2 linked regions of the Styela clava genome follow. The protein of the gene in region 1 binds, or shares a complex with, the protein of each later gene. Links are inferred from orthologs where the notes say so. Each region holds a gene or a part of one and is shown on either strand. Other genes may lie near its edges. The genes, in order: ral GTPase-activating protein subunit alpha-1-like and ral GTPase-activating protein subunit beta-like.

Region 1 (16,451 bases):
GACTGTATGCAAAAGGATCACTGGACTCCTCGCGGTCGTGGGGTGGTTCGTATAACAGCTAGTTAGTTGCGGCATCTTCCAACAATTGAAGGAACGAAAAGCATTGAATAATTAGTGTTACCATTGATATTTTAGTTGGGAATTTCCTATTGATCCATCGTCTACAATGTTGTCTCAAAATGTCGATGAGTTTTATAGACACAAAACGCTCAAGTTACAGTCCTTGTTCGCAAGATTACATTTTTAGTTGGGGTTCCGAGTCTTTCTTATCGTACATACAGGTTTTACGAAGCAAAGTTGTAAGGTGCATTTCAAGTTATGTGAAAAACTTTCAATTGTTTGTTCCATGATGGAACTTACATCGGCAAGTAATTATACAGTTTTCAGATCTGGATAAATTGGTGAGTTCATGCATCAAAATAACCTTGTTCCACCACTTAAAAATTAATTCGCGCGTTTAAAAGACCTCCATAAACAGTGACGTATTTGGGGAATGACAGACAAGGCTCGTGTCATGGGCGCCATTGGAATAGGGAGGGAAAAGGGCGAAAAGTTTTAACCGTAGAATGTTTCAATAATACAATTTCAACTGAAAATTATTGATAACGTATATATTAGTATCTCATTTCAACAACAGTCGTTAAAAATTGTCTGCCAACGACCTGAAGATGTTGGCCAAGCGAGAAAGTAAGGAAATTGGCCAATCTGAAAAACGTTTTGAAAGTGAACGATGACCTGAATCTGATGTAACGGACTTTATTTCAAAGCGCGATGTTGGACTAAAAATGCTAGAAAGCAACTTATTTTATCGAATAGGATGAAGGCGGAATATACCAAGCTTGTTTTAAAATAATACCATAACAGCCATGTGCCTTTTTTATTCAAAAAATGACCGTACGATGAACAGTTTTCGCAGCCTGAAAATTTCTCTGGATGGTTTTACAGATTTTGTCGACAGTGGCAGTATCCATAGCGATTGTACAGTAAACTTATTCCTTCGTATCTTCGATACTTATTGAATCAGGAAACGATGTAACATCATTAAGTATAAAAAGGGACGAAAAAGGAAAATGAAATCATTGACGAATTTGTATCAAGAAACGCGCGAAAAATACTATTGTAAGCAAGGCCAAATTTTTTTTATAACGCGATGCTTGCTCGCGCCTTTCGCTCCGAACAAGGTCTGTACAAGCAGCCATTGACATCTAATGATATGTAAAGATCTTTTATTATATTATTTTGAAGGACCGGACTTTCCACTCCGGCATTGCTGCCCCAATTTATTACACTGGGTTGGTGGGGGCATGAAATTTTAATCCAAGATGTCTAATCTGCGATGCCAACACAGTTAAGGTTTGTACCAGCGATCGGTATCGGCAATTTTTCCGATCTCGGGATTTTTATCGGCATTTTATTCAGCGCTTTGATCTGCCTTAGCACGTTTTAAAATGTAAGTTAATAATTTCATAAGTAAGTTAGTAATGTTCAATTATTTTTGCATGAAGATATCATGTTTGCGACATCTACTGCTTCGTTAACTCTGAGCCATGCTCACCCTTGCAAGTGGGAAGGTAAATTATAAAGTCACGTTTTAAGGTAACGTCACGTTTTTAACGGTTTTGAACTTCCTAATGTTTTTAAATTCAAGTCATTTTCGAATATACCGTAATTATTTGTCACTACAATTTTATAGTTTACGCAAAATTTATCCTGATTGTTTATTGCAACTACATTTATTTTGAACAATACATGGTAGTTACGAAGAAAAATATCACGGTGAATTTCCCCGATTTGCGAAATCCGAAATATGAGATCATGGTGTCACATAATCCTTTGCACGTAACTCTATGTATTGGTAATAGGATAAGTAACCATTTTCGTATTTCGCCAGGTAAACAACACGCTTATCTTATCGAACATCGCGATTCGAAAACGCCTATGCACAACGAAACGTCGGCAGACACTACCATAATTCACGACAAAGTTTTAAAGCAATTTATGATGCAAATAATTCAAGTATTTAAATAAACCGTTAGTAATGATTGAGTCAATTGATACGCAATTTTTGCATCTGAATCACAGATATCAATTTCTATGTTCTGGAGTATCTGTTCTTCGAGCTAATGCAAATATAATTCGCAGACAACTATTTTATCCCGTTCGTCCCTCACACTCAAGATGATAATTACATATTATGCATATGGGTATCGGCGTTTTTTCGTCAGTATCGGCGACAAAAGTGATACCGCTAAATCTCGAATTGAAACTAGCAGATATATATATATATGGTCTGCAACATTACTTTCCGACAAATAGTTTAGTAGTTAAGCTAATTCAACAACTTTAAACCTTCACTGATCATTAATTTAAAACCGCTTGAAAATTTTATTCAAAACATTCAAAGGAAAATTTCGTCACGCTAATAACCGAATTGCGTAAGACGTAAGTCATTTTTAGCAGTTTTGAGAAAAACGTAAAAAACTTCCTAATGATATTGCTATGCCATTGAGAGTCAATAATTTGCCATGGTTCAATTTTTTGATCGTAGCCGGAGTTAATTTGTATGACGCAATCATGTGACGTCATAATGGCACTGTGGCAGAAATGTGTCTATGACTAGGGGACATCCGCAATTTTGCAACTTGACTATATGTACCAGTCCTGAAAACCAAACAATCCAAAAACGAATGTATTTCTTAGTATATACGAAGTCTAATTCCCAAAATAGTTAATCTGTTTCAATTAAATTATTTTTTATGTTTAAAAATATATATTTCATCAATACAACATGCTCTGCACATCCACCGAAATAAGACTAAAGTTAAATATAAACAATAAAACAGCAATGTACCCTTATATGAAAGCCAACCAAGGTGAATTGGACTCGGACAGTGAATATCACAAGTGCACGCCTTCCTATACTGTAGTATAAATTGAAATTTATAAGCGCTAAACTAGAGTCTGAGATGCAAAAACTCGAAAATCCTTCGGCGAGGTTATATTGCCTTTGTGACGTCACAATAGTCCGGCGCTAACAATGATAATTCATTATGACGAAACAATTGAACAAATTTGCATATCATACAAAATCTCTATTTTTATGGGTTTCGGAATTCCTAAAATAAAATCTGAGTTAACAGACAGGTGCGCAGCATTACATAAATACCTATTTTATGAAAAACTCAAAAATGACTTACGCAATTCGGTTATTAGCGTGACGATTTATAACATCAATCTACCCATAGAATTTCACTCGTCGCTTTTGGCCATCTGAGCTAATAAATATTAACTGTACGATTGTCCTTGATCCTTCCTTTCAAGATGAACAACGCACAAATCTGAAAAGCGATACGATGTCATCGCCGAGTTCAACTATATCTCAACACGGTATGAAGAAGATGGCTCAGCTAACACGGTTGTTTCCCGGCAACGTCTCGCACACTCGGCTAATCCTGCAAACATTCGTAGTCATTTTTTGAGGCTAAGAAAGCTCTCCACAGATTTACTTCACTGCCGAAGTTATCCAAGCTCTACAAGCGCACAATTTCACATTCTCGATTGATTCGTTTGGAAAGAGGATTGATAGCATGCCAAAAAACGTCGGGTTATCGGCGAATCGCTCAGGAATAAACAGAATAGAGCAAAATACTGTAGAAAAAAGCGTAAGAGTTTGTCCCCGCAAGACCCATGACTACGTCTACGTTGGACCCTGTTGTTAGTTGAGCAAATTTTCTGCTGCTCTTGGTTTAGTGTCGTTATTAAAACAGTGAAAAAAACAACAACAATGAGGCTCAACCGGTCGTGAGCCCAGATGACCCTCATCGGAGACTCACCCACCCAAAAGTATCACCCGAACTTAATTTATTTTTGTATTTAATATTGTGTTTTAATTGTTGTTTTGTGGAATAATTCTCTGACTATTCCTATATGGACATTGAGGGGTAACGGGCAGGACGCAAGAGGCAATGGTTTGCTGTATGACTACGTATATATTCTCATTGCGTTGTCTTATACTCTTGTCGCCCATTTCCTCCTGCTAAAACTATGAACTTCTATCTATTTCGCTATGTAAGGCGATATATTAACTTATAAACCTGTTTGCTCCCCGAAGCGAGCTGATAAACAAAGTGACTTAGCAGTTGTTGATGTGGGAACAATGACTCAAGTCGGTTAACCACAAAATTTATAAAACACGTTAAATCAAAATATCCCAAGTTATTTTAAAATACGTAAAGAATCTTTAATGTTCGCGTAGAGCATTTCATGCAGCAATAAGAATGAGAGCCTAGTCTAGTGTTTAGCGTTACCCAACGCATCAGATTGAATTGATACTTAAAAACGTTTTGAAACATTTTAGGTTGAAAGGCGCAAGTTGCAAGTTTAACTTAAAATTAGTTACTGTGTCGACTGTCGATTGAAATACGTGCTATGGATATAAAGTCAGAAGTCGGTGCACAAACCCATGAAAATAGTGTCAGTTGGGAGATGGGCAAAATAAGCACCATAGTCCATCGCGTCCCAAATATATATGAATGAAATATAGTTGCTATTAGCAGAATATGTTTATTTAGCGATATATTCATTTCGTGACCACGTTTACTGCAATGAGCCGATATTTTCGTACCGGATTATCCCCTTATAAGCTACTTTTGACGCCGTGCATTACTATCATTTTCCATTGTTTTGGCCAATTCTCAATCAAGACATCGCGGCCCTCGCGGGCAGTCGGGATTCGGGAACCGCAGTCTAGCATATAATAAAAATTCGCCTGCAACGCCTCGGACAAAAGTGAGTTCTTTGTGAATCAATTTCATTGTTCTGTCGTTACACAGAAAATCTAAAAATGCAATATTGCAGTTATTCATATAATTGTATTTTCCCTTGCACCGCCATCACCATTCCTGCACTGCCCGGGTAACTTATTTTTATGACATTCTAATAGAATGTCATAGAATTTCTATGCTATGCAATCAAAATCGACTCACAGTTGCGTGTTCCCTAGATCAGTAAATAAATAGGGAGATGGTTTTAAGTCAGAATGGCTAAGGCTTTTAATTTTACGAATTCGAATTACTGAATTAGAATTTAATTATTATTCTGTTATTAGAAATATGGTATTGCAGTATTGAAAAAATTGAAACTGTAAAAGATGAATAGGAATAGATTTTAGTATTTGTATGGAATATTAAAAAATGATAGATGTGAAAAATAATTACGGTAATCCAGTAATCCGTACTTATTTTATCACCATAAAGAAAATACACATTATGTGAACAAGAGAACTGTAGAAAGAAGAGATTTGAATATGGCATTTCGGGTTGAAAGGTCTGAAGGTGGCGCGAGAAATCAAAACTGGTTAATGAGCAGCGACACCCATGATACAGTCTAACAGTAATTAATATAAAAAAAAGAAAAGGGTTAAACATTATATCATGAAAAAAAGTTTACAGCAGAACAAAAAAAAACTGAATACATAGACTACAAATATAAAAAACTCGAAGCACCGTCACCGTAGGCCGCGTCGCGTAGGCATAAATGGTTAAGAGCTGGGGCAGTGGGGCCACTAATATTACTGTTTGCTCCCGCTGTATCTGTTACAGTATTATGGAATGCTTGACTCCAGTTTCATGGTTTCCAAGTCCTTGTTCGTATCATAAGGAACATGATTATTGGTTTATAGTTTTTTTCATAAATTACAGAAGTACCTGTTCATTTGGGAATTGAAAATTTGAAGTTTACGAACTAATAACAATATTATTTCAGAAAAATATTGATTTGATTTTAAATTGAAAGATTTTCTATAACTGAAATATTTGCTATGCATTGTGATGCATAAGTTATGATGGGAAAATTTCATTAGCTAGACGAATTTGGTAGAACAATTCAACAATTATCAATTTTGAAGATGTGATATTAAAATTATAGAGAATAATGAAAAAATCTCACCATTGTTGTTGCATATTCGAATGACAATATTAGGATTAGATGCTGAATTTTAATATTCAGAAACTTGGTACAACCAGTTTTGTTTTCATTTTCAACTTTTCGAACTGCTTTTTCAAGGAATTTGTTGTTGGTTACATTTTATTGGTCATATTTACAGAATGATTTTAATGTAGAACACAACTAATGTATGTGCATGGTTTGTGCAAAATGTAAAGAGATTTTACTCAACTGAACTTCTACATCTGCATCCAAAGGTGAAGTAAATTCAAAATACTTTTCTTGTTATTTATAGTAGGCAAATTTACATGTGTTTTTTCACCTTGATTTTATTATATTTTCATGATATTTTATGTATCAATTTTCTTTCTTGCAAGTGTTCATGAATTCAAAGTATGCCACATTACCTTTAGGAATGCCAAACAGTTTCTCTTTATATAATTCAATTTTTTTTTTTTAATTTTTTCTTTTTTATTGTGAAATTAAATATTATTACGTAGTAAAATCTATTATTTTGGTGCCAGATAATCTTTTTTTTTAGGATTGCAAAGTAATTGAAGATTAATTTTTGGATTAGCAAACCTAATTTAGTATGAAATCAATATATACACTCAATTTTATTACACAAAGTTTTTATTGAATCTGTGTTTTTTTATAGAGAAGTCACAAAATTACCCTAAATTCTTTTTATATGTAATAATGTGATACGCTCATAATTTAGACAAAAAAGCCAGTTTTGATGCAATAAAATAATAATATCGAAAGATGAGGGTAAATCCAAAATGCCTCAGAGCAGCCGGTTTCATCCTGTTATGAGTCATTTTATCTTTCCTTATTCTGATACTGTTGTCATGGTTCAGCTTTTTTGTATTATATGCAATACATAAATTTAGACAGCCTGCAAACTGGATAAGCCACCGTCAAAGGCCGAGCAGGCTGCTCGGTTAAAACACAAGATGTTTCAGATTCATAAGAAACCTCAGGGTGATGCAGCAGTAAAGAAATCTGTTCAAAAAATATTGGATCCGAAAAAAGATATTGTCACGAGATTGAAGCATTTGAGGCTTGTTCTAGGTAAAATATCTGCTTATTATATATTTTTTTCCAAAGTGCTGATAAAAATATGAAATTTCAACATGGAAAGCTAAATTATTTTCATTTTCCATATGTTTTCATGTGATACGCTTATAAATTTGAAAAAAATGATAGTTTTGAGGCAATAATGTCAAATTTGACAGTAATTTCGAAGAACCAAGTTAGAAAACACTACTTCACGAACATTGCATAGTTATTGTATACTGAAACTTTAAACAAATATTTGAAATTTGAATCCGTTTTTCCCTCAAAAATCACTCTTTCAGAAAATTGTAACATTGCCATGATTCTTTTCTCATTTATTTCCAATTCACGCTGAACACTGGGTATTTTAGGCAAATCACTTAATTACTGGAGAATATATAAAGTACTTGAAAAAGATAATCTACCTAATCCCTTTTTTCGTGTATGGATTAATCTCAAATTCCATATATTACCGGTATATTCGAAATATAGAAAATGACTATTTCTACCCGTTGGCTGAAACTGAAAGTACATTTGTGTAATGAGAAATGTCTGATTTTTTTTTTTCTATTTAGGAGATTTGAGTGTTGAATGATTCTTTTTAATTCTAGACGTACATTTATTGCTTTGTAACATTGTTTGTTTACCCACCTTTTATGTTTGAAAAGACTCGCCCTTATCCAATGAATGCCATAAATACATCGATATTATGCCTGCTGTTATAAAACATTGTGCCTAATTTATTTGATTCATGCGTGGAGATAGGAAAGTGGATAATTATCTTTGTGAGATTTTTAGGATGTAGGATGTTAAGTTCATTATTTTTATGACCTGATGGATGTTTTCCCTCCACAGAAAAATTCTTTCTATGCTCTACCATTTCGTATTTTTGATGTTCATTTTAAGTGGATTTGCGGGTTTTCCTGTGCGAGTTGATTCACATTTATAAAATCACCATATTGTTGCATGCAAGCTGCTGCTGTTAAAAAGTCTGACAGTTACGGTAATTTTAGCCTCGTGCTTTAACTTTCTTAAAGCTGTTTGCAATTACTAAAATTGTGATCATTCGAAAATAAAATGACTGCTGATTCATACATACATTTTAGATACATAAATAGATTTATAAACTACCAAATGATGACCAAAACTAAGACAACTAGTCAATGTTTTCAAGTGCAACTATGCTTAAAATGTATGTGTGTGTGTGTTAAAAAGTGTAGCAACTGGGTATATTTTAATTGATATTTCAACATAACATAACAGATGATACTTTGGAAAACATTCATTGGAAGTCCTGGTTATTACTATAGCCTTCATATTTTCTCACTTAATAAATATTGCTGTATTTAGAAAATGTTCTACTATCGTTCCTTGTCTATTATCATTTGCAATAATTTTTTTTTTAAATATTCAAAAAATTCGACTGTTCCAAGATAGTAAGGTTTGGACAAAAAATTTTATATGTGGTCATTTATAAAATGCATACATAAGCATATAATTTTTATCTGACTTTTGGTTTTCTTTATGCTTTAAAATTAGAAAGGAAAGATAGATATCTTGTCCACTTTCTACCATCAAGGCTTAAAATCAGTATCAAACATTGAATTGTAATGAAAATATTCAACTATCATTCTTGCAACTAAGTGTACCTTTATATTCTTAACAGATAATGTCACTGATCCAGCAGAAGAACAAGCAATTTTTGAACAATACTATTCTCATATTTATTATGTTTTCTATGAAAACTTTCTTCTGGCTGAGGCAAATGTGCGACAGAAAGGAGGTAGGGGATAGTTGATAGATAAAAATAAACATTTTAATATTCGAAGCATTTTGCTTAAATTTTTCTCAGTTATCTCTAATCCTAAACATTTTAGCGGCATAAATATAATAATCACAGTAATAAATTTTTATTCAAAATTTTGTCTCTACAGCTCACAGAGCACAAAGAGAAGAGCTCGATGGCATGCTGCAAATTTTTGAGGTTTGAGTTTTTTTTACTCATATTATATCCATTGTTGAAACATGAAAACCACCGGTTATTGTCATCACTGTAATAATATTTTTATATGACATGCGGTGACTTTGTTTATTATATTTAATCACCAATTGTGTTTATTTTTTTGCATGTCCACAATTGTTTTATTACTCAAACTTATAGTCAGTTAAAAAAATCAATGCAGCCCTTTGACAATAAGTACATATTTAGGATACATTTTACTAAAATTGAGATCTACTTTTAGTTGGGGGAAATTATAGTGATTATATCTTTTATATGCTTTGGGACTTTTTCTATTTTGGTTTCTGCTTATGGCCAACCATAGTACATCTTTTCAAAGTAGGTTAATAAATATACAGGTTAATAAATGAATAGGCAAAGATTGAAGCATGTGAATGTATGACTAAGATCTTTTCCTGTCGAGTTTTATGTATTCCTGTTGTTTATTGAATTGGTTTAATGGCTACATGTTTGAATTGCATACTATACAGCGTATCCATCTGCTGATAGAACAGATGAGTTTCAATTCGTGGAATTTTTTTTCTATAGGCTATATTAATAAATGCATCAGGGAACATTATGCGTTTTGAATAAACATTGTTCAGATATATTTAGTGTAATGCCCATGAACATGAAGATATGTGTGACTCTGTTTATATTAGTGTTGAAATTAACAAATATCTTTTTTTGGGTTGTCCACCACAATTCTTTTTAACTTTTAACTTTTCGCTGACTCAAAGGGGATTGAATTTTTTGATAAATCATATTAAGGGCTTTGCTAAAATGCTGAAATTTGTATATTTTCAATATTTGAACTGCTATAACTTTTTAATAAATACTTGGTAATATTGCTCCAATCTATGATTTGATATACGCCTTAAATGTTTTTTTAAATTTCAACATTTGCCCTTTGTTTTCAAACCCATTAAACGATTTTTTCTGCTTGGCTTGAATTCTGCATATTCCAATTCTACAAATATGATTGAACTGCTGCATTTTAATTTAAAACAAAACTATCTAAATAGTCTGAATTTTAATTAGTCCATAAAAGAGATTGAGGCTTCATAATTCATAAAGTTTACACTTATTTTAGTTTATATATTTTTTGATCTTGCTGAAAAACCATATTTTTTAGACTATTCTTGTACGTTTACCTGAGATGCTCCATGAAAGATGGCAATATAACAGTATTGGTAAGATGATTTATTATTCATAATATTAATAGTGCAAGATTTCAAGCCAAATTGTAAAATCCGACATCATTGCATATCAGTAACAGCTATCTTGTAACACAACTTAGCACCTCTTTTATTATTTTTATTTTTAGATCGAATTATCAAGACGCTCCTACATCCAGGAAATTCACTCAAGGTTTGTTTGATGTGAATTTTTTTCTTACCTAAGCTCTAAGAAAGCAGGCAATACTACCGTGATGCTATAGCAATGCTGTTGCTCCCACGCTTTTCAAATACAAATAGTTTAAAATTCCTTTATAGAATTCTTTTGTCTATTAACATTTGATATGGCTATTTGCAATTAGTTTCGTATTACAATGAGTTCATCTTGAGAAATAATTACCGTAGACTAGATAATTGAATATTGAAATCTCCAACAATTTGCATGACTCCGCAAATCTTGTGGGAGATGTTTAACTGTTAGGGAATGTTCGATCATTTGGTCCAAGATTCTGGTAACTGGTCCGGCGGTTTTCTGCTATGTGTCGTCTCATTTACTTCTGCTTAACCCCCATTGTGATGCCAACACTATAAACACAAGTAGCTGCGTCGCCGGGAGTCTAACCTTGTTTTTTTAGTTATTATTATTCATTTCTATTCATTAGTTTGTTTATTTTTTGAAGAGAATTAACTCAATGCAAGGTCGCGTTTACTCACTCAGTATGAGGAAACTCTTCGCTGAGCAAGATTACACGCTACAGCGAATTCACACCATCATTAATATTTAATATATTTTTAGATGCGACGAGATGGAGTGAAATTCTTCTTATTGTGGTTTCGTGCTTTGAATGTGAATGCTAAAGAATCAACAATATTATTGTATGCATCTATTGTACCGGGATTTCCCTCCCCACCAGCAAAAAATGAACTATACAGTGGATGTTACATTGAATCACTAATAAATCCTGTTCCTGACAACAGTCAAAGTAAGTTTTTTAATGAACTAGAATCTAATTTACTTTAGATTTGCAGTAGACGAACATGGTCAAAAAATAACTTCTCCAAAAACAATATTTTTTATTTTGGGATACTGAATATATCATTCAATAAGGATTCATCAAACAACATACATAAATTGACGCATATCCATGGATACTTCTGAGATGTCTGAGAAAAAATGAATCAAATATTCAAATGTATTTGAAAATGGTTATATTCGATATAGTAAATTCTTGGTTTTTTATTTCTTGAAAATTTGATACATTCATTTTTTCCAAGCTGGCGTATGTCCTGCAGAAATTACTTGCTTGCTTCCTCCTCCTGCTGGCGAAAAGAATCCTCATGACCTGACGAAGTTCTTCTTGGATATAATGTTGGAATATATGGTTGTAGAGGTAAGATGAATATTTTACAATAAAGTCAATATTACTTGTGTGGAAGATTAGTATGCTGCCAATGTTGGCTTCTTGGGTTGGAGACCTCTTACCCAAGTCTATCACCCTAACCCAGAATGTATCAAATAGGGGCTGAACCATAAAGATTCTGGGTATTGTAAAAAATATAGTCACTACAGCCTATCAGTGTCTGCTAATCCAGATATGGAAGTAAAAAATTGGACGTAAAATTAATTTTGATAGTAAAATGATCATTTCTGTATTTTTTGAATTTAATAGTTTTCAACTTGTATTGCATAGTAATCATATATTCTGATTAGATACTTCTCGTTTAAAGCCTCAGAGAGTTAGTGTGAAGGTATATGATTAATACCTAAATTTCCTCATCCTGTTGTATAAACAATTTTATTTTTTCAGGCTTGTAAGTTACAATGGAAAGATCGACCAAAAATGGAAACAGTCTGTTTTTCTTTTCTCTGGAATATGTTCAAGAAATACTATCTTCCTCATATTTTTGATGATTTTCATTTCGACACTTCTGTTTATCAGCCTAATTTATGTAAGTTTTAAGGAATCTTAGATAGAATGCCTTCTTCTTACTACTGTAAGTGGTGAAAAATAATAATTTATTTTTCATTAGATTTCTTATTTATCATTTCTGAGATACTTCTTTGCAGATCATTATCAGGAAACAGTATTTTACAAGCGCTGTTCATTGTAAATAATTCTTCTGCCTTTGCACAACCGATCCCTTTTGTGTGGGTTCGTATGTTTGAAGCCCAAGCCGAAGCACCTGGAATGATTGATTTACTAGTTAGCCATTTCCCTGCCTGGCCTAAACCGATGATGGGATACATGTTGTATTTGCCTTTATTTTTTAGATCTTTTATCGACTTTTTCTGTCTTTTGGTATAAATATTATAAATGCTGCGTTTTATGAGCTTGTGTATCAGTTCTTCTTATTTTAAAAACTTTATTTGTTTTGATATACAGACTGTTCATAAGTCTCCTTACAATTACAATTCAAGAATTTATCACAGAGTTATTAAACGATAAATGAATTCAAACTTTTTCCTCAGTCAAATTGTCTAATCCAGTTTACATAAATGTAAATGTTCTACCTGAAATGCAATTAAAAAAAAAATTGAATATGACTATGAATACAGAATAAAGCATCTAAATGTCATCCAATCACAAAATTTCAATTATATTGATTATACTGATTATACAAGGCATTTTATCACATATTACTAATTTTACCTGTTTTTTTTACAGCATTGCCTGAGCCGAGAGGACCTGTGAACTACATTTTAAATGTAACAGACACTGGCTCAATTGATCCGTGTATTGAAGTTGGTCCTGGTTGTCCCATGCTGCCTGCTCGCGTTTCCACAATTAAATGGGTGATAGCGTTCACAAGTGATGCCCTGCACAATGAAAATAAGAACAGGGGTGCAAGGTATGTAATGGACATTGAGTTAAGTAATACTTAGGTGCAATTGTAATATCTACTCTCATTTGGACAATTTACAGTACTCACCTTGTATAACCTAGGATTTTTCCTATAAACTAACCTAAAAGTTGAAACCAAAAATTTGTTGAATTTCGAATATAAAATATTATGGGAACAAATGGATACCGATAACACACAAACACCAAAGGTATAAATTCAACTCAAATATCTTCGATATGAATATGACTAATTTTGAGTGGAATGGAATCCGTAGAATTACTTATTCTTTAGTTACTAGAGGGAGATAATTTTATCACTAACTATAATTTGTTTGCAAGCCAAATTTATCAAATTCAAATGATTTGTGTTTTTTGCACTCTGTTGATTGTAATTCCTAATTCATTTCTAAATTTACAAATAATATAATATCATATTATAGTAATACTGAATCATATTTCATACGATCATATTGATTAATTAACAAAACTAACTGGTCTTTGGACAGCCTGCAAGTCTTCTGTGATGCATGTTCTACTATAGAAGGCAATACTATGTGTTTGAGGCTTTGAGTGCTTTTCAAGTTCTGGTTTATAATAGTTTGTTAGTGTTGTTCCAAGGAACATGTAATGGTACAGAAATTTTCATTCGAGTAAGAGTATTCCTAATTAATCTAGGAACATATTGTAACTGGTAATTTTAAATCTTATCTTGGAAAACCTGGCTCAAATCACGAATTCCGTATTATGCAGCACACTATTTCTTACTAAAAAACATGGTTGTCCATAATTTCTCAATAAATTTTTTATCTAGATTACCGTATTCTAGAATTTCAAATTTAATCCAATGACATTCTCAGTGCTCCTGGTCGTAGATGATATTTAAATTAATTTCGGGTAGACATCGGTGTCATTTTAAATGGTTTTCCAATTATTTAAATTCAGTTATGGCTTGGTAGTATTTCTTAATTATTCTGTCAATGCATGATTGAGTGAATACGTAACTAGTATTAAATGTGAAACATCATTAAAGTTGGAATATATGTTCAGCGAATCTTCACATTTTTTGATTATTACGACTTTTGGACATTGGTGGTAAAGCTGGTCACTAACCAAAAGTTGTCTTTTTTGAAGAAATGTGTATCATTCTGTTTCTGTATCATAAATTCTATGTGACCTGAATCACATAGAAATCAAGAAAAATGTAAGGCTTCAAAACAATAATTGAGCATTATATTGCGAAACAATTCGAGTTTGACTTGAAAAATTCATATTTAGATCAATTGAGGACCAGCAGTATAATCGAAAATACTTACAATTGAATCCCGAAGACTGTATAAAATACAAACCCCAATCAAATATTGTTTATCTTCTTATCTTTCTTATATCTTATATTTCCCAAATTCAAACTCATTGAATTTACACCGACTTTTATGTTAAACATGATTAAATTCCGAAAACATTCAATATTCGACGTTTTTGAATGGCTTCGTTGAAAAAATATGCTACTTTTCGCTGATGGGGTAAACAGTTAATGATAATATGAATCATTGCTATTCAAAAGTATCATAGGAAAATAACAGTCATTGTTAATGGGTACAATTTTTGTCTTCAGCAATTTTCTTCCTGTTTTTCGGAGCATACATCGTGTACTGGCCTTAGCTTGTTGCTGTTATTCGTTTCGGATAATCAGTACAATGCCAGACAGGTGACTTGAAAAATTTGCGAAAGTGATTCCTCATTTTTTTAACAATACCAAATTCAATTTTTTTGTAGCATGTAATAGAACGCTGAGTTCCAAATTTGAAAAGCATTTTTCAAATTGTAGTATTTGTAGTGTAGCATATTTGCATGCATTCTGAAGGTTATAAAAGTGCACATTATGCTCCGAAAAACACTGTCATGTAAATATTGTTTGTTTGATAATTTTATATTGCATGTAATGTTTTTAATCTTTTGCTTTCTGCTTTTGTGTTCTTGTTTAATTGCAAAACGCAGGTCGGATGTCGTATTGGACGGCCTGTCCAGACTGCTGAAATCACATATGATGCAACAACGGCTTATAGTCGGTTCTGTAATTGGGTGATTATCATTGCTTTTGATTTTTTTTTTTGCAGCTTTAAAATGCAAATTTAAATTTTGAAATTTTGCAATAATCCTTTTTATACTCAAATATTGAGACGACAGGCAAAGATGAATTTGAATTTCAAAAATATCAACTTTGAACATTTTTTTTTTCTCATTTATTCAACTAATTTGGTCTTCAGTGTGCAATGGTTGAACTTGCGAATTATTTTAATATTGACAGATATTTATTGTATTAGTTTATTGAATTTTGTTTGTGATATGCATGATTGTGTGTTAATTAGTTACAGTAGTTATTTAAAAAGTAGTGATTAAATAATTAATCTTATGTCATAATTTAGGCACTTTATCATGGAGGCATTTTACATAAATCACTATCATAAATAATTGTGAATGTCCGAAAATTGTTCTAAGACTAAATTTGAAATATAATTTATCTGGAAAAAGTCCTATTAAAATTTATATTTGAATGATAATTAATGATATTTGGTCAATTTTCATTATTTGTGGAAATTTTTATGAAATAATACTTGGATATATTACAAAATCAATGAAATTACAGAAGAAATTTAAAAATCGGGCATAATAATTGAGTCACAACAAAACATAACACATAACCTCATACAACATCATAATTGTACAAACATAATTAACACTTCAACCATCACAATTTTCATTATTTTCTTCCATTAGTGGTCACTTTCTAGTTTCAATGTATATCTCGTATTAAAAATTTATTAAGCCACTTTTCATCAATTCAATTTCACTTACTGTCTAACCTAACAAACACAGACTTCCAGACAGACAAGCCATTGGTGAAGCAGATTCAAAAATGGCAGGAGGGAATTCATCTGGTGGTAGCCATGAGCAAGAAGCATCTCATTCTAACACAAGTACTTTGACTGAAAAGGTAGCAAGGACACTATAAGTTATTGATTAAAATTTATTCAAATCTAACTAATACACTTATGCCTGATTTAGTAATTATTTTACCATCTGAATTTATTGTAGGTGACATGTACTGGCTAACAAATTAGCAACTATTTAACTAGTTTTTCTATGTGATTTCTGAATATGATTTGTTACTTTCCCCATTGTAACTGAAATATATCATTGTATATTATATACCGGTATATATAATTCTATGTAAATAAATATTAGTTCAATTTGAGCAATATATAGCCAGGGATGTCGGATAGGCGATTGACAATAGTAAAATACACCAAGAAACTATCAGGAATGCCCCAATCTTAAGTTATCGGATTTTTTCATTATTGAAATGTTTCTCCAGGCTCCCAGTTTATCGAGTCTTTCCAGTCTTGATGACAAATTAAAATCAACTGGTTC
Region 2 (17,178 bases), on another chromosome or scaffold:
ATACAGGGAAGTCGCAGATAAAGAATGATTCCATTGGTTTATTTTGGTATTATATGATTTTCAGAAATTTGGGCCTTTCAGGTGATATTGTGAGTAATCAATAATATTTCATCGAAAGAAATTATTCTAAATAATTCATAAAATCGAATAAAGTTAATTTTAACTTAATTCAAATCTTTGTATCACGACCTTTAACCTCTGAAACAAAGATAACTAACACAAACCTTGCAGTTAATGCAGCGGTAATTTTACACCAATACTCCACGACAGGTGGATGATGCCTCCATCCAGCAAATAATAACCTAGCAGTCTTCCATAGTGGAGGGGAAGGGAATGACCTGGCACAAGATAGAAGCCACACTTGCATAAATGTTTGCATTAGAAGTTCACAAAGCTGTTCAGCTAGCCCATCTGTAGGAAAAAAATATATAATTTTTTGAAAGGCATTAGAGGATTGCTGGACTCCTCGCCGTCGTTGGGTGGTTCACGTAACCGCTGGTCGGTTACGGCTTCCTCCACCACCAAGTCCATGCTTCTGAAAACAAACAATATAACTAATCCCATACCCGACTTGGAATGGTAACCGGACGAGAGGCCGTGGTTCGCCATATGGATAAGCCGTCTTATCGGCTTTCCTCTCCCCCGGGATAAATATGTAAATCCTATCCTATCAATGCTGAGACAGAGGCGTAGCAGGGAATTTTCAAAAGTCCAAAATTTTTAATTGCCAACTTGGACCGTAACAGCTAGTGTGTCCGGTCAGAAAACATGATTTTTGAGTCTAGAAAACGTTTCAAGCTATGAAAAATTGCTATGTTTGATACAGAAAAATATGGGGTCCGAACTCAAAATGCTCCCCCTGGCTACGCTACTGCGCAATTTAAGTTTTATATCTTTCATTTAGAACAAGGATTTGTACAAGCGACCATCCCTACTTAATGGTAATTCACCACCACTACTCATGGTCATTGTGCCTACATGTTAACTAAACCTAATCCTAAGAAGCAAGAGAAAGCAGATAGGTGTCGCTGCCTGAAGACCTCTTGAGGTCCCTCGCGACTCCTGTCACACAATTTAAGTTAGTTTCTACTTGTATTTGTAATATTTTTTCATATATCGTACCATGTTTAAATTGTGTTGACGAATAAATGATGATTGATTGATTGATACAAAATCAGTGAAGCGTGAAATAACAATAATAAAATGAAGTGAACTGGCAGTGCTGCCAGCAATTAACAAAACAAAATAATACAATAGCAACAGATGTTTTAACGCTGAGGCAGGGGCGTAGCCAGGGAAAGGGGGGACTGAAATTTTTAATTTTTAACAGCTAGTGTGTCTGGCCAAAACACGTGGGTTTCCAAATCCAGAAACGTTTGACCCCCAAAACCTCACCCTCTGGATCACTACTTCCTTTTGGAAGAAATGAATTCTATACTGGTTCGGCACTCAATATGTTACTTTCTGGGCGAGGCATTCAGTGTGTAGTTTGAACTGAGGATCTTAATAATCCGCAATGCCAACATAGTTAGGTACCATGCCTTAAGTACCAGACTAGGGTTTCTAGAACTGTACCGTTGAGGGGCCCGAAACAGTTCTCTGAGGACAACAAGTAGTAGCTTTCTTTCAATACCATTCGAGGTGACTACATTAATTCAAGGTAAATCAACGGGGATTTGTTTAATAATTTTGACTGAATTGCATGTATTTCTACTTCCCATTTGTTGAGTTTTTTTACGACTGAAGATGATTCATAAAATAACCAATGGGAATACTGCAATCCTCAGCAGGCGCAAGCTGATACAAAATCAGTGAAGCGTGAAACGATAACAATAAAATAAACAGGCAGTGTTGCCAAAAATTAACAAAACAAAATAATACAATATCAATATTACTATTGCCCTACTAAACTTACTTGGTTGTGAAGGGGCAGCAAGAAGTTTGTCACAAACATTCAACATGAACATCAAAATTGTCTCCCAGGTCTCTCTGTCTAATAACATAGAATTCTGAACAACGTTTTGAATCGTTCGAAGCACATTCTGACATAAACTAACTTGGGTTGACACAGCTCCGTCGGTTCTGAAAAATAATATGGATATTTGATGAATATATATATACCGTATTCATTTTGGGAGAGAGAAAGCCTATAATCTTCATAATCATAATATTATTATGGCGAAAAACGACCTCTAGCCTATATTGGCTGTATATATCAGGTTTAGATAGAAACCGGTTTCAGATGCATGAGCTTTATCGAATGACATTTTTACGCACATCTTTCACTCAAAATAAGGCGCTGCTGTAGGCGCTGTGCTACTTTGTTCTGGATGAGTCATTTAAAAAATGACTCAGCTCTTACTCTGGTTGGACAGAGATTTTCCTCTTGGAAAAAAATTTGATTCTAATTTTAAAAACAAAATTTCATTAACAAAGCCTTGACGAATGAATGAAAGCCGTCAGTCGTTTTGGACATTCCCAATTTACATCTGGTGTTGGGGTGCTCCCGAAGTATGCGAACCAAGATGGCGGACATCGGAACGTAACATGGATAACAGGTTAGGGTTAGGCGATAATTTTTTTCCAATTTTCCTTATTTTAGTACTATTATCAGTTCGAGGACTAGCCAAGAGCCTCCCGTAGTATTTATACCTAAAATCATGGCCTAACCCTAACCTGGTACACATATTGCATTCCGATGTCCGCCATCTTGGTTCGCATACTTCGGGAGCCCCGGTGTTGGTTTGTTTGCTCCACCAAGTAATAATCTATGATTTGATCAACTAGACCAGTGGTTCCCTAAGTTGATTGACTGGAAGCCAAAATTAGAAGCGGAAGGATATTCACGGGCCAATACTATTATTAATTAAGATATTGGTATAATTGTAATGAATATACCCAGGCTTGAACTGTTATAACAATGTAACAATTGGCAGTATCTGAAACGCAAAGAGAAAAAATCACAAAGTGTTAAAACTATTTCCCTCAAGTTCGGCAGGCAGGCCATATTAAATCGTTACACGATATGAGAACCACTGAGCTAGTCCGAGACAGCTCAATGAATAAAAAGCTAGACAACAGATCTAAAACATCTATTAGTTCCAAAGAAAAGCCTTTTTTTTTCACCACGGCAAGAATTTAGCAAAACGATTCATCTACTCCATGTCAAATAAATGAATAATTCATCACAATTCCTAGATCAATAATATTACCAGTACAAACACACAAATGAGATATGAAGTAATTGCTGATTCAATTTATTATTCAATAACTAAGCATACAATATGGTTCCACTTCCATGTAATTCTTTCTACAATGCATATCTTTATTATCGTAAGCAATGGCCAAAATCTTATTTGCAACTTTGAATTATTTAAAAAAAAATCTAAAATTACATTTTCGGATATAGTTAATTGAGTACTTTCAAATTTCGTTCAATTGTTCAACAAAAACATAGAAGATAATGTGTAGCCTATTTAGCGCACTAACGCTTAGCACAATGTGCCTCCCCCAACTCATATAAATCCTATACTAAGTAATATGATACAAATTCTGATAATAGTACTTTAAATAAGTTCAATATTGTTTATAGCCGTTCTAAACTAAATTTGAGTTGAACTTATTGATATTAAACAATTTAGTGGCACACATAGTGCCATGGGAAAGAAAAAATCTCGATTTCAATTTTAACCACAAATGGTAGCATAACTCAAATGAGTGTCTATATATGCAAGTCAAGCATAGGTGGATATTGTGTATTTGAAAAGGAGAGCAGGTTAGCACTCCCCTTGATAAGGACGGAATTCACATATACGGGTGAGGCACTGCCGAAAGGCATCCACCCATGTTTGCAAAATATAAAACAGGATTAGGGATGTGTCATCAAACCAGAATAGAAAACTACGGGCTGTTTGTTGACAAAATTAAAATTGTTCATTTTTTCATACTATGTTTTCATCATTGTATTCCTAGAATAATTAAAACAGCATTAGAAATTCACAATATATATATTTCTTTCAAATCTCCTAGGCTCGGTGCATCGTACCAAGCGTTAGCACTACATCCGACTTCGCACCCCTGATCACTCTGCATGGGTTCGCAGGTTTAAATCCTGTGGAAGAGGATTGCTGGACTATCACCACCACCGCAGGGTGGTTGATTCACGTTGCCATGATTAAATTGCCAAATTGGCTTTTCTTTCTCCTGGGATAAATATATAAAATATAAATCCTCTTACCTTGGAATAAACAGATTCTGCAAATGGTAAATCATCTGCCGAACATATGATAATGGATTTTTCAAAATTGGTTCAGGAACAGTGGCTTTCGGAACTGTAAGCACAGTTAACCAATCAAGATACACGTTCACACTTTCTCTCAGAGTGTCAAGTTCCATCAAAGTGAGACTCAAACCGAAGCACACAACTTCCATCGTCCATTTAACCTGAAGAAACAAAGTTAGAAGTTTAATATTGGTTTGTTTTCATATGCTTTTTGCTTCGAGCAAGGCAAGCAACTAGTATGGTTTGGGGCTGTATTTTTCCCTTCATTTCACGCAGTAGTTCCTAAAGCTGCTTGACCGTGGGCGAATAATAAAAGCCGAAGGATATTCGCGAAGGAGAAAGAATAGTGCCCGCATGGGGCTGATACCGACATCAGTACATATAATTAAGATACTGGTATAATTGAATAGTTACGAGATCGAAAAAAGGTAAAAGCATTTAACACTTTATAAAGCGTTAAACCATTTTACTTGATTAAGTTCGGCGGGCCAAATTAAATCTAAGACCAGCGGGCCAAAGATTGGAAAACACTGCTATACTGGCTCTACTATTCAATTTCTGATCTATTTCGTTTGATTCTGTTTATCTTAAGTAAGGTTACCGGTACCTTACGTTCGAGCTCATTTTAACATGTAAAAACTATTATAACACAACTGAATGCACAGTCTATAATGGACATTTCACACAATATATAAGAACCATCTTTGCTGCCCCATTGACAATATATCACTCAGAATAGTGCTATAGTGATAATACCAACATTACATACCTCAGAATCTTGCCTGAACCTGGGTATATTCCCAATATCAGGAGTTCGACTTCCATTGCTAGAACCTCCACCTGTTGCAATAAACAAAAACATAAAAATTTAACTCAATACAGTGAAGCATTCAAGTAAGGTTAGATCTATATATTCATTACTAGATGAGCCAACCGAGCATATCGAAAGGGTTGGCAGTATGCCTCATCATTACTACTCCACAATCATGAGCTAACTACCGTAACACCATAGGATTTACATATTTATCCCGGTGGAGGGGAAAGCCGATAAGACGGCTTATCCATATGGCAAACCACGGCCTCTCGTCCGGTTACCATTCTAAGTCGGGTATGGGATAAGTTATATTGTTTGTTTTCGGAAGCATGGACTTGGTGGTGGAGGAAGCCGTAACCGACCAGCGGTTACATGAACCACCCAACGATGGCGAGGAGTCCAGCAATCCTCTCGCACATAACCATCCCTGCATGGGATTCGAACCTGCGAACCCACGCAAAGTAATTAGAGGTGCGGTGGCGAGCGTATTCCTAACTCTTAGCCCGTTGAGCCACACCGCTGCGCTGTACACAACATGTGTTGTTAAATAGATGAGAGGCTATGGTTCGCCTGTCAACTATTCTCCCCCGGGACAAATATGGAAGTATTACAGTACAGCACACTATCCAAATTTCAAGAATTTCCCTCCATTTGGCTCAATAAAACAAACACTCTATGTGTCTCACAAACGAGGGGCGTCTGGGACCATGTCAGATGCTTCATATCGTGCCATGCTTGTCTCAATAAAAATCTAAATGAATCGTGGGCCGTCACATGACCAAAATTGCCGTTTTTTGCTAAAAACTCTCGAATGCTACGGTAAAATTTTTTTTCCCCTACGGTAAATCGGATTATTTTTTCCCAAGGAATTCAATGATGACGTTATTAAAGTGTGCTTTTTTGTAGTATTTCGCGCAACTTCATTATACTGTATTATTACCGATATTGAGGGACAACAATGTCCAGATGTCTCCCAAAGAAGGGGTGTCTGATCATCTGTAAAATGGGTTTCTCTGAAACGGGACAATGTCACCCGATTTGTATAGTGTGCCGTACAGTATTAACATATCCTAAGAAATACCATGCTTGAATTAATTAAACATGACAACAATCAGAAATACAACACTTACCACCTAACAAACTGGTTACAACAGACTTTGCTACATCTCTTCCAACACTCGGCAAATAATGATGAAGCACACTGGTACATTTTTCAAGATCTTGGACTTCAGTTTTAACCGACGTCCACTCCGAATACATTTTATAATAATAAGGTATATCCACTTGATGTCACCATAGAGTATATAATTATTTTATGTTCTAATTATACATTATCTCAATGATCTTCTAAATTGAAAATATTAGCAGCGGATGAAATCATAGGCGCACAAAGTATTCAAGAATTCAGTTTAAAACAGTGCGGATATTACTCAATTACATTGAATTAAGACAGTGGTTTCCAAAGTTGATTGACCGTGGGCCCAAATTAGAACTGAAAAAATATTCCCGAGATAGGAGAGGGTAACGCCCGCAAGGTTTGAATTGTTCAGATATACAGTGATTGAGCCCATGAACTACAGTGATAATCGCTGTATATTACAGGGTGAAAAGAGAATCCAAAATTTTTCCCAAGAATCCCAAGAAAAAGAGAATCCAAAATTTTTTGAAGTATTTCTACAAAAACGAAGAAAATTTACTCAAGACTTGATCTACTGTTCATTTATTATTGTGCCCCAAAGTTTAAGTACCATAATCTAGGTCGCTTTGCACAAAAGTTATCATATATCCTCACATATAAGCCGAATCCAAAATTCAAACCAAGGGTTGATCGGCTTATACGCGCACAACTCTGAGTGCATTGAACGTTCAATTATACGTGCATAACTCTGATCACACTCAAACAGAATGACATGTTGCTAACTTAATTCCACCAGCTACAACTCGAACTATACAAGTTCTTACGATGAGAGCATACGATTTGTAGTGTCGGCTTATATGTGGATTTTTACAAAATTCACCGTTTTAGGGTCGTTTTTTGGGAGTCGGCCTATATGTGAGGATATACAGTATTTTTTCTTAAGAATATTGTTATATATGACCTGGGTGCTCTTTATATTGAAAATTGGATTTGGAAGGATATTTTGTTCATGAAACAACTTACTTTGGAATATGAAACACAATTTTAAACATATTCAGTGGTTATGCACATCAATTTTTTTAAGTACTATTCATTTATCACTCGAACAACTGTTTGTGTACGATTGTACTCAAAAGTTACAGTAATCTTTGGACGCTTTGCAGAAAAGTTATGTTTTCTATAAAATACTTTACAAATGGAATTTGTATTGGATTTGAGAAGATAATTGGATCACAAAAAGTAAACATCTTACTACTTTAGAATATGAAACACAATTTAGAAACATATGCAGTGGTTATGTTAAAAATTACTAAAAAAATTTTTGGTAAAATAGTTGATATACTTTCATACTAATAATCTATTACAATGAATCAATAATATGAAGATTTGATAAAACAAATGGTCACTCAAAAATGTTAGCTACCGTCACAAAAATGCATATATAATACAAAATCATAGATTACACTTGATAAGCTTTCAAATCAAGCAATATAACATAGTATGCTGTCTGGGTTTGATTATAAAAATAAAATTGTATATCGTAAATGAATATCAATAACATTACAATAATCAGCACAAACAATACAGTCTGAGTATACAAACATTGAAAGAAGCTGCCTCAAAATTGCAAAGATAAGATAAGAGCAAATCTGTTTGCACAATTACGAAAGGTAAATCACTCTTAAACTGCTTATTATGTTTATGTTTGATACAAGTATAACAGACTCACCGGGTCATTTACATATATCAATTCTCTACCTAGACAGTAGATTAGAAATGTATTACGTCAATCAATTGCATTATTATTCCAAGTGGCACATCTCCATAGATTTCTGCCACAATACGGAAGAGATTTTTTCATCAGTAGCTACAGGATATAATTTTCGCTGCCTCATTTCGGTAAAGTAGTTTCCCGAAGACTCCTCGAGTCCATCCTCTAAGCAGCAATAAAGCGGGGTCTGGCATCCGTAGAAAGAAGAACGGCAGAAAAGCACGAAAAACATTTTTCTAAATAACCAACTAAAGAATCTTCCTTTATTAACTTGATCAGCTCCAATGTGGGTTTGAATAGCTCCTGGGTGGACTGCGTATACAGTAATATTATTGCAAGTGCCACCTTCTTGACGTAATCTTTTGTCCAGTTCTTTTGTGAAATACACATTCATCAATTTTGTGTTAGCATATTGCTTAAAGATTTGAAGCCCAGTTGAGTTCCGATTGATATCTGGATTCAGGTTGTCAAAATTTATCTTCCCAAATTTGTACCCTTCTGATGCTACATTCACGATCCTAATAGGAGATTTTTTAGCAGTTTTCCGCAAAATAGGCATCAATAATTGAGTCAACAGAAACGGTCCTAAATAATTTGTACCAAACATCAAATCAAGCCCATCTTTAGTTTTTCCTTCTAGAATAATTCCTGCATTATTCACCAAAATATGCAAATTACTTTCAGATTTCAAAAACTCCTCAGCAAACTCTCTGATACTTTCAAAATCTGCCAAATCAAGTTTCATAGAATGCACTTGATCATTTCCAGTTTTTTGCCGTATTTCTTTCACTGCTTCACAACCTCTGTCATTATTTCGGCAACAAATAATAACTCTTGCGTTACATTTCGCAAGGCCGATAGCGATGCCTTTTCCGATCCCACGGTTACCACCGGTCACAAGCACTGTTTTTCCCGTTAGGTCTTTCTTGCTATTGCACACGGGCCCGCGTTTAAAAAATCGCACCCATACAATAATAGTCAGAATAACTCCACCGCCTATGATATTTGGCAGTGTTAATAATTCTCTTTCGCCTGACGGAAACCAGGAATCCCCATTAAAAAACATAACGCCTTTCTATCAGTGTAGAGTCAACCCTCGCGCAGTCGACATTAGTCACTGCCAAATACCACTAACATCGATAAAATTGTGTAAATAAAAGGCTGGATGGTCACATTCGTCATGGTGCGTCTGTGGGCGAAACGGTGCCGCATTCCGACTTCCAAATCCAAACCGAGTTACACAGAAAATTTTTGGGCGTCCATGAGCGTTTTTGGGCATAAAAGGACTTCAAAATAGCAGAATGAAACTATTCGCCGTTATGGTCAGTATACTCAAGCAATTTATGCTTATTTATCATTATGCTTTGAATTTTGTTATATAAATTAGGTAATCACTGACCTTTGTATGATAAAGAAATGATTATAATTTTTATTTATTTATTTGTTAACTACTAGAATGTAATTTATCATGTTCTTCTTACTTTATACCTTCTGTATGGTTGTGTGTGAGCGTGTGTGAAATATTTCAATTTTTTTTGGTGAGTGAACACGTACCACTTCTTCTTGGCAAAACCTTCTATCATACATTCTGTACGTTTTAAACTAAGTAAGGTTTTGTTTGCTCTCCTGATTTCATAATCAGTTTTTATTTTTACCAATCATTTTATTGCCTTACCATTTTTTAGGCTTTCGCCCTGAACATGACCCTGGAAATGCAGGTACTGATGCAAGGAGCTACTGTTTTTGGAACGACCAAATCCTTTTGTCTCGGTCATGCGTCTGGGTAAGACGGTGAACCTGTTTGAACCCCAGTAATCTACCCTGTGGCGCCAACTTAATTGGCGATCTCACCGTCTCTTTTTAGCTACCACATTTACTTAACGATATCGAACAAACCAACCGTAAGACGAAGCGGACCTCCTGAAGTATGCGCACCAAGATAGCGCACAACCTGAACTCAGGTTGTGTACCAGTTTAGGGTTCTGGTTATGCGACATCTTGGTGCGCATACCTCAAGACCAACGACGAAGCAGAGTATGTACAGGCCAAATAACATGTTACCTATTCTCAAAGTTAATCACTCAACAGTTGTTTCGCATGCAGTTGGTGGCATCATTCAACACAGGTTAAACCTAATTTTAGGTTGTTTATTTCCAGATTATTCGCTTTTCCACACTTTGCTATTAGGGTAGGATTCAAATAGTTATCCCGGAAGAGATGAAAGTAGACAACACGGCTTAATCATAGGGCGAATCATGGCCTTTCGTCCAGTTTTCAGTCCATGTCCGGTATGGGATTAGTTATTTGTTTTCAGATGCATGGATGGAGTATATGTAGGCTTACCATACATCCCGCTTTAGGCGGGACAGTCCCGATTTTAGCGTCTTGTCCCGTCGTCCCGACAAGTCAGCCAAAAGTCCCGCTTTGGCGTTCAGCTATCCAGTATGATACACGAACATGTTCTCGTTACTGTTGTTTCTGTGTAGGGCAGCGCTAGCCTACTTACTGAAGGTGAAAATGTGAAGTTACAAAATCACAGCTACGGGGGTCGTTGTCTCTGGGGGCTTCCCGCTTTGAAGTCACAAAAATATGGTAACCCTAGATTTTTTAGCCAATAATCAACTGCTCATTTCTGCACGTAGCAGATTTCAGAATCAAGAAAACACAAAATGCATACAAGAATAATATATCTATTAGGTATATAAATAGTAAAAAATCATCTACATTATATGAAAAGGTTGAAACAATAAAAGTACCACCAAAGTGCCAGGAAACCAAATAACACTAAAAGAAAATCACCAAAGCTTAGTGAAGTCATCAATTGAGAAGCAAGTATTTATTTAATAATAAGGTAGATGGCACCACTTTTGACGTGGGAAGTGTGCAGAGATCTAGTTAACGAAACCTGAAATAATCCATTCTTTGCCTGAAATATTCAAGGTAAATAGCACCATATTTTTCTTTTTTCAATTCAAGAGCCTTGATGCCAACTATCACAAATGTATTTCTGTAACAATCCGTCTAACCTTGTTACGAAAATCTTGAATTGAATAGAATTGTCATTTGCATACGGAACCACCTGCCCAAAGGCATAGAGTGAGAAAACGTAGTTACCGTAGTTTCACGTAACCCTAATTGTTAGATACTTTTGCTCGTTGAAAATGCACCATGAACCACGCGGGGAAAAAGAGTCATTTTGTAACCTAAACTCTTCTGAAATTTGAGTTAGAATGACTTTAAATTTATGAGTTCTTAGTTCGAAATAGATTCTGCACACCAAACAATTTATTAGAAATAGAGTCCGAAAAGTACTCTCAAATTAAAAAAAAATGATTTAAATTTGGCTGCACTGAACATAGTGCCTGTGCAACAATGCAAACCATTGGATATTTGTATATGGTTTTCTACAATAATATCCTGATATTAATTATTAGATATTAAATTATTTTTCAAATAAAGTATATAAAGAGTTTATAAAATACAGGGTGTTCATAAAGTCCCTTTACAATTTCAATTTTGTTTAAGTCAGTTCTCAATATATCTTAACCAGATTTGTCGTTTTTTAAACAGTAATGTTTAGGTATTTTTACTTCATTTAACACATCTGTGAAGGCAAAAACAATCCATATCCATATGGTATGGATAAATTCCCTTTGCATTTTCAAATATTTTCTAGACTTTATGGCACCCTATATTATTCAGCAAAGTTTCATTTGAAGATTTGAGTATGTGAAGATTTATTTATGAAACAATGTTCAAAAAATTTCCACTAGACATAATTATATTTAATTCTGTCAAATATAAAACATTCCTGAACTAGCAGCCACAGTGGTTATAAGCAGCAATCAAAGTATCTTATTTTGGAATGTCACGATAGCATTGTGGCAACAGCACCAGGCTGAGATTGCGTGGCATCGAATCCGAGTGGTTCACCAGGCGTGACATCATAACCCATCTTTTTCATATCTCTTGTTACAACATTAAAAGTAACCTGAAAAATTTGAAAACTATGAAGTGGGTACTCCCGTAGTGTTTGTAGCAGGTTAGGGTTGGGCCATAACTTCATTCAGATTTTGGTACACACACTTCTGGAGAGCCATAAACATGTGAAACGCTATAAAGTGTGTTACAGATAGCCAAATTTCTTAAAGTAAATTTCTATGTGCTGAAAAGGACACAGGAGTGAAGAAAGACAATATGGCGGCTCAATCATATGGCAAACCACGGCCTGAGTCCATCCGGTTATCAGTCCAAGTTGGGTATGGAATTAGTCAGCCAGTTACTCATTTTCATGTGCATGGACTTGACGATGCTTTCATGAATGCATCAGGATTATTAACAAGAATAGCATAATCTCTTTCTCAGATAGCAAGTATATTTTTTTTTTTTGACATCATATAGGACAGCAATCCTCACATACATGGACACAAGGCCGCACATTGGTACGGGTATGGTAATCCTGAGGCTGAGAGTATCAGAGGACAAGCTATGCAGAGACAGTCGAGTGATACGAAATAAATAGTGTACCCGTCAAATTAAAATAACACGGCAAACATTTTGGGTAACATATAGCATGCTTTATGACACATAAATTTGACGAAAAATACAGGCAATAGCTTCCTAAAGACTCTCTCATCTTTGAGCACTGAAAATTTGAAATTGGTTGGCCCATTGGTTGTGAAGAATTGAGCTTTTTCTCCAACAACAACCTCCGCAGTGTGTAAAATAACAACTTTATACATGTGCAACAACTATAGTTGACTGACCTTTATATGACCTTGTGTTCGAACTCTTGTGACATCACGACCTTCACCTTGCGCTACGACCTTGGGATCTACGAATTCAGGACGTCGGCCAAGGAACCAACTGATGGAAGAAAAGGCATGATTTAAAAACAAGATAACAATTCAAAACAAAATTTCTCGTTGAAGAATAGGAATTCGTTAACTCTTCTGTCTCGCACAAAGTATAATTTATGATATAAAAAGCAAACTGTAGAAATATACTGTAAATAAAACCAAAAGGTTTCGTGTTTTTACTAGTGCAGAATTAAATTAATATTTGAAACTGTGGCCCTTTTTAATCAATACCAGCCAAATAAATAAAATATTAGTCCTGAGATATTATGTTTTGCAGCATTGATTCAAAAGCGTAATATTAACGTAAGGCAATCAGTAAATCAAGAGTCCGGCAGCGCCCAACAGAAATGTATTCCTGTAGGGCTGTAAACTGCTAATATGAAAAAGGGAAATACATTTGAGACTTGAGTATGCAGCAGGACTCTTAAATTACATAGTAAGGTCATTTTTATTACTGCTACAGCATCCTTGCATCATACGATACAAATCCACAAATGACAGGGAGTCTTGTTTAACCCCGACTCATAATCGCAACAGAGTGAAGTCAGAAATCTGACGAATGTTGGTCACATTTGTGTCATAAGATGAAAACAAACCTTGTAAATTTTTGTAACTTTGATGACGATTCGGGCACGAACATCGGTATAATCCTTGAGTGTTTTCCAGGTGCTATGGGCACATGTGTGGCTCCATATCCTCTGACGACATCCTGACCAAATGCATCTGGACCATAACAGCTAACGACTAATTGAGGCCCTGTTAGATGATAGAATGAAGAAGATGGAATTCATGTGATTGCCTAGCTGTTGGTGTGTTAAACTGCATTGAAATCGCAGATTACATGTTAAGACTTCAAATCTCATTCCCATCCTTGGGTAGGTAATGTTGAATCGTAACTAATCCTTATAATAGTAGCTCCCGCATATTCTAAGACAGAGGCGTAGCAAGGGGGAAGGGTCTGAGGGTGGGACTGTTTAGAGCGCAGGGCATGAATAAACATTGTACGCATTACAAAACTAGATTCTCCAGGTTATGCTTACATTATGGTCTGTGGTACATCGGCAAAAATATTTAATTCAAACTTTATTGATTCTAACAGGTCAACTTAACATGCAATAAAATTGATTTACATGCAAACTTACATCCAAACGGATTTGTACTTTTATATGTGATATCCAGAGGGAAATTCCACACAAATAGTTGTCTCTCGTCTCGACTTTTTCTTGTGATTTGTGAGATGCCTTCTTCTAATCCAGCAGTCACTGCCCAGTCTTGACCATGAATGAATGAAAACTTGCAATATAACTCTTCAAAATCTGGAAACTGATAAAACACAGGAGTGATTGCGATTATTCAAAAGCAGGGGGTACACAAAACAGTGAGGCGCATGCTGACATGGGCAAATCCGGCCCCGCCTGATTCTGCAACAGACAAACTAAAACCAAATTTAGATGTTTAAGCTAAAAAAACTAACTCAAGGAATTCTTGAGATTGCGATGCCGATGAATTCAGTTTTGAAATAATTCTGTAAATATTGTTCGTAAACTGGGCCGCCGGCCGGCAGTCTAGGTGGGCAAATATTTTGACCACTTGTTCAAAAACCTTGCCCCATGTGCTATGGGTTTCGCAACCCTTCTCTATAGCATATAATATACACAAAAATCTTGTCACATTTTGACAGTAGAATTTCAACACAATAGTCATAAAACCTTCAGTTTGTGAGATAATATGTTTGGCAGTGTAGGAACTGTGCCCCATCTTTGTTTTAATTGCGAATCTGAAGTATAATAAACTGTGTATGTTGGGCTAAATCAGAAATTTTCGATTATTCAAAAATTATTGAAGTGACAGCAGGACATCTGAGGCATTTGGAGAACTGGTTACCTTAATACCGAATGAAAAATGAATATTCAAAAACTGCCTAATTTAAAAAAAAAAATTATTTAGTCTCGAAAGATTTTTTTTGTTTAAGCAAAAATTTTTTTGAATCTAATATCACAAAAAATTTGGCATTAATCATAACTTGATGTACTGAATTATTAATGTATGAATTCCAAAATAGATACTTATTGTTAGTTTATTTAAAAGTTTCAATCCATGAACGAGCATAAAAAGAAACGATAAAAGAATGATATAAATAAAAAAGTGAATGCAACTTACAACAGCACTTTCAATTTGTCCTGTTGACATCAACATAAAGACAGCTGGGTTTGGATTCAATCCGGCCATTTCACCAACGATATATTTCTAATTATTAATAATATCTAAATATTTTTGAAACAAGTAAACACATTCAGAATAAACAGAAAATGTCATTTAGAATGATAAGTGTTTAATAACAGTATCATATTCAAAATAAACAAAATTTGAGAGCAAACTTTGGATTGGTGAATCATATAAAGCATAATATAACTTTAATAACATCACTAACAAATCTACTCTCTTTCCATAATAGCTAGAGCCATAGACTTTAGCCATAATAGCTCTAGGATTTATAAAAGGGTTTATCAAGCTGTAGTAACGATCTCATGGTAATGTGAAACATATAATTATTCGATCTGGTGAGTTTTAGAATCGGGACATTTTTGCCAGTTCCTGAATCAATGATTGGAACAATGTATTCAACAGGAAGGTAGTATCAATTCAGCTATTTTACAATTTAACAATTATTGGGTTTAATTGCTAAACTTGACGAGGTACATGATAAAGTATTACACACTTATATGTTCATTGCTATATATTTTATAAATTACTATTTCAAAATGAGCTGCTGAAAAACTAATTTATTTGTTAGGAATCCAATTTAGAACAACTAGACTAATGATAAAATTCGAACAAGTACCAAAGCATTTGAATATGGATCCAATTATAAAAACTAACACTCAAATAACAAATTCTGAAATCAAATAAATGGAGAGTCTAAGGTCCTGGAACATCTTTTCGGAAATATTGGTGATACCACAGATCTATGGCACGAGTCCATGAATAGATCACTTCTGGGTATTGGTGATACGGTGCTCGCCATCTTTGCGACTCCCATTCGTGTTGTCCTACCACATGATCAGGGTCTGATCCAGTTCCGATGATGTTGAGTGCTTCGGCTTCCATTATTTCTTTATATTCTCTGAGGTGATTACGATCTTTTTCGGCTTCCAAAAGCGGGAGATATGTCATTTCAATTAGTCGTGTTTCCCGTTTTTCAAATTCGTCCAATTTCATGTTTTTTCTTATGATATGGAAGCCGTAACCAAATGTAAAAATAGCAAACCCAAATATTCCATAACTGCTGGGTCCACGCACGGGAAGATTTCTTAGATATGGAATCCTTCCATAGCCCCCGGGCGGGGGCATGTCCTGTTTATACCTAATCTTGCTCCATGCCTTTGATCCTTCCCCAGAGCCAGCCATTTTTTTCTGAAATGGCCAACCAGTGACGCCAATTCAGTGGCGACTGGAAAATAAACCTTTTGAACAGACCTCGACCTCAAAATTGTCCTACGAAAATAACTCTAATGAAGTGTTTTGGCGACAACTAGTGTTGAGAACAATGGCTACTAGTCGTCGGTCACTATGGACCTTTCCCCGAGCATCGACTTCCTTGTTTACTTCGTGACATTTGCCAATCAGCTAGATGCAAAAAGTGACGTAACAATGCCCCCTTTTCGCATCCGCTCAGACACTTTTCCCACTCAGACAGATTTTCAAGCGTGATTGTAAACATTACCTCGTTTTCGCGTTTTTGAACTCTATTCGTTAGTTTTCAGTTGTGTTTTGGGAACTTAAATAAAAATCAGATAATTCAATGATCACTCTGTCTTTCTAGGAGTTTTAATTCAATTGCAGTAATAAAAATTAGTGTAGAAATAGCTGTGATAGACTAGCCTGAAATTCTTTACCGGTACTTTTAGAAAACAGATTGCTGTATGCGATGAATCATAATGATGGTTTGAAACACATACCCCATTTTACAGACGCCAACTCGCAAAAGCACTCTTAAAATAGCCTTAACAATTTTGCAATGGTAAAGTATAGGAAGAATTTTCCGAGGGTCAAAGGTCGGGGGAAGGTCCATTTCTTTTTGCAAACAAATAAAATTTAAAAACATTTAACACAAAATTTTATATTATTTACAATTACTAGCACTACCAGCTAGAATGTGTGAGTGTTCGAGATTTTTTTAAATTCTTGAATTATAGAAAGTGGGAGTGGGACAATTGATTACAGTGGGCGCAATACTACCGTATAAATATCGTTGCTATTTTCAAATCACGCCAACTCGTCGGCGTCCGTTAGTCTGGCGTCAAATCTATAACA

What was found.
Region 2: ral GTPase-activating protein subunit alpha-1-like (region 1) and ral GTPase-activating protein subunit beta-like share a complex: the UniProt entries of both Homo sapiens proteins name them as parts of the heterodimeric RalGAP1 complex. The link is inferred for Styela clava from reciprocal best matches to the Homo sapiens genes RALGAPA1 and RALGAPB.

What each region holds. Positions count from the first base shown.
Region 1 is NC_135253.1:4,748,343-4,764,793, reverse strand, and holds the start of ral GTPase-activating protein subunit alpha-1-like, read left to right. Parts: upstream 1-4,769; 5' UTR 4,770-4,788; intron 4,789-6,103; 5' UTR 6,104-6,200; intron 6,201-6,836; 5' UTR 6,837-6,899; coding exon 6,900-7,017; intron 7,018-8,668; coding exon 8,669-8,785; intron 8,786-8,936; coding exon 8,937-8,986; intron 8,987-10,136; coding exon 10,137-10,194; intron 10,195-10,328; coding exon 10,329-10,372; intron 10,373-10,975; coding exon 10,976-11,162; intron 11,163-11,454; coding exon 11,455-11,570; intron 11,571-11,987; coding exon 11,988-12,129; intron 12,130-12,845; coding exon 12,846-13,029; intron 13,030-15,017; coding exon 15,018-15,101; intron 15,102-15,896; coding exon 15,897-16,014; intron 16,015-16,395; coding exon 16,396-16,451. UniProt on the Homo sapiens protein: Catalytic subunit of the heterodimeric RalGAP1 complex which acts as a GTPase activator for the Ras-like small GTPases RALA and RALB.
Region 2 is NC_135262.1:3,154,164-3,171,341, forward strand, and holds the start of ral GTPase-activating protein subunit beta-like, read right to left. Parts: upstream 6,443-17,178; 5' UTR 6,357-6,442; coding exon 6,227-6,356; intron 5,123-6,226; coding exon 5,052-5,122; intron 4,444-5,051; coding exon 4,238-4,443; intron 3,853-4,237; exon of another isoform or gene 3,754-3,852; intron 2,083-3,753; coding exon 1,916-2,082; intron 412-1,915; coding exon 225-411; intron 1-224. Other genes in the region: B9 domain-containing protein 1-like, read right to left, coding at 11,874-11,996, 12,772-12,871, 13,461-13,620, 14,007-14,187, 15,025-15,093; NADH dehydrogenase [ubiquinone] 1 alpha subcomplex subunit 13-like, read right to left, coding at 15,784-16,272. UniProt on the Homo sapiens protein: Non-catalytic subunit of the heterodimeric RalGAP1 and RalGAP2 complexes which act as GTPase activators for the Ras-like small GTPases RALA and RALB.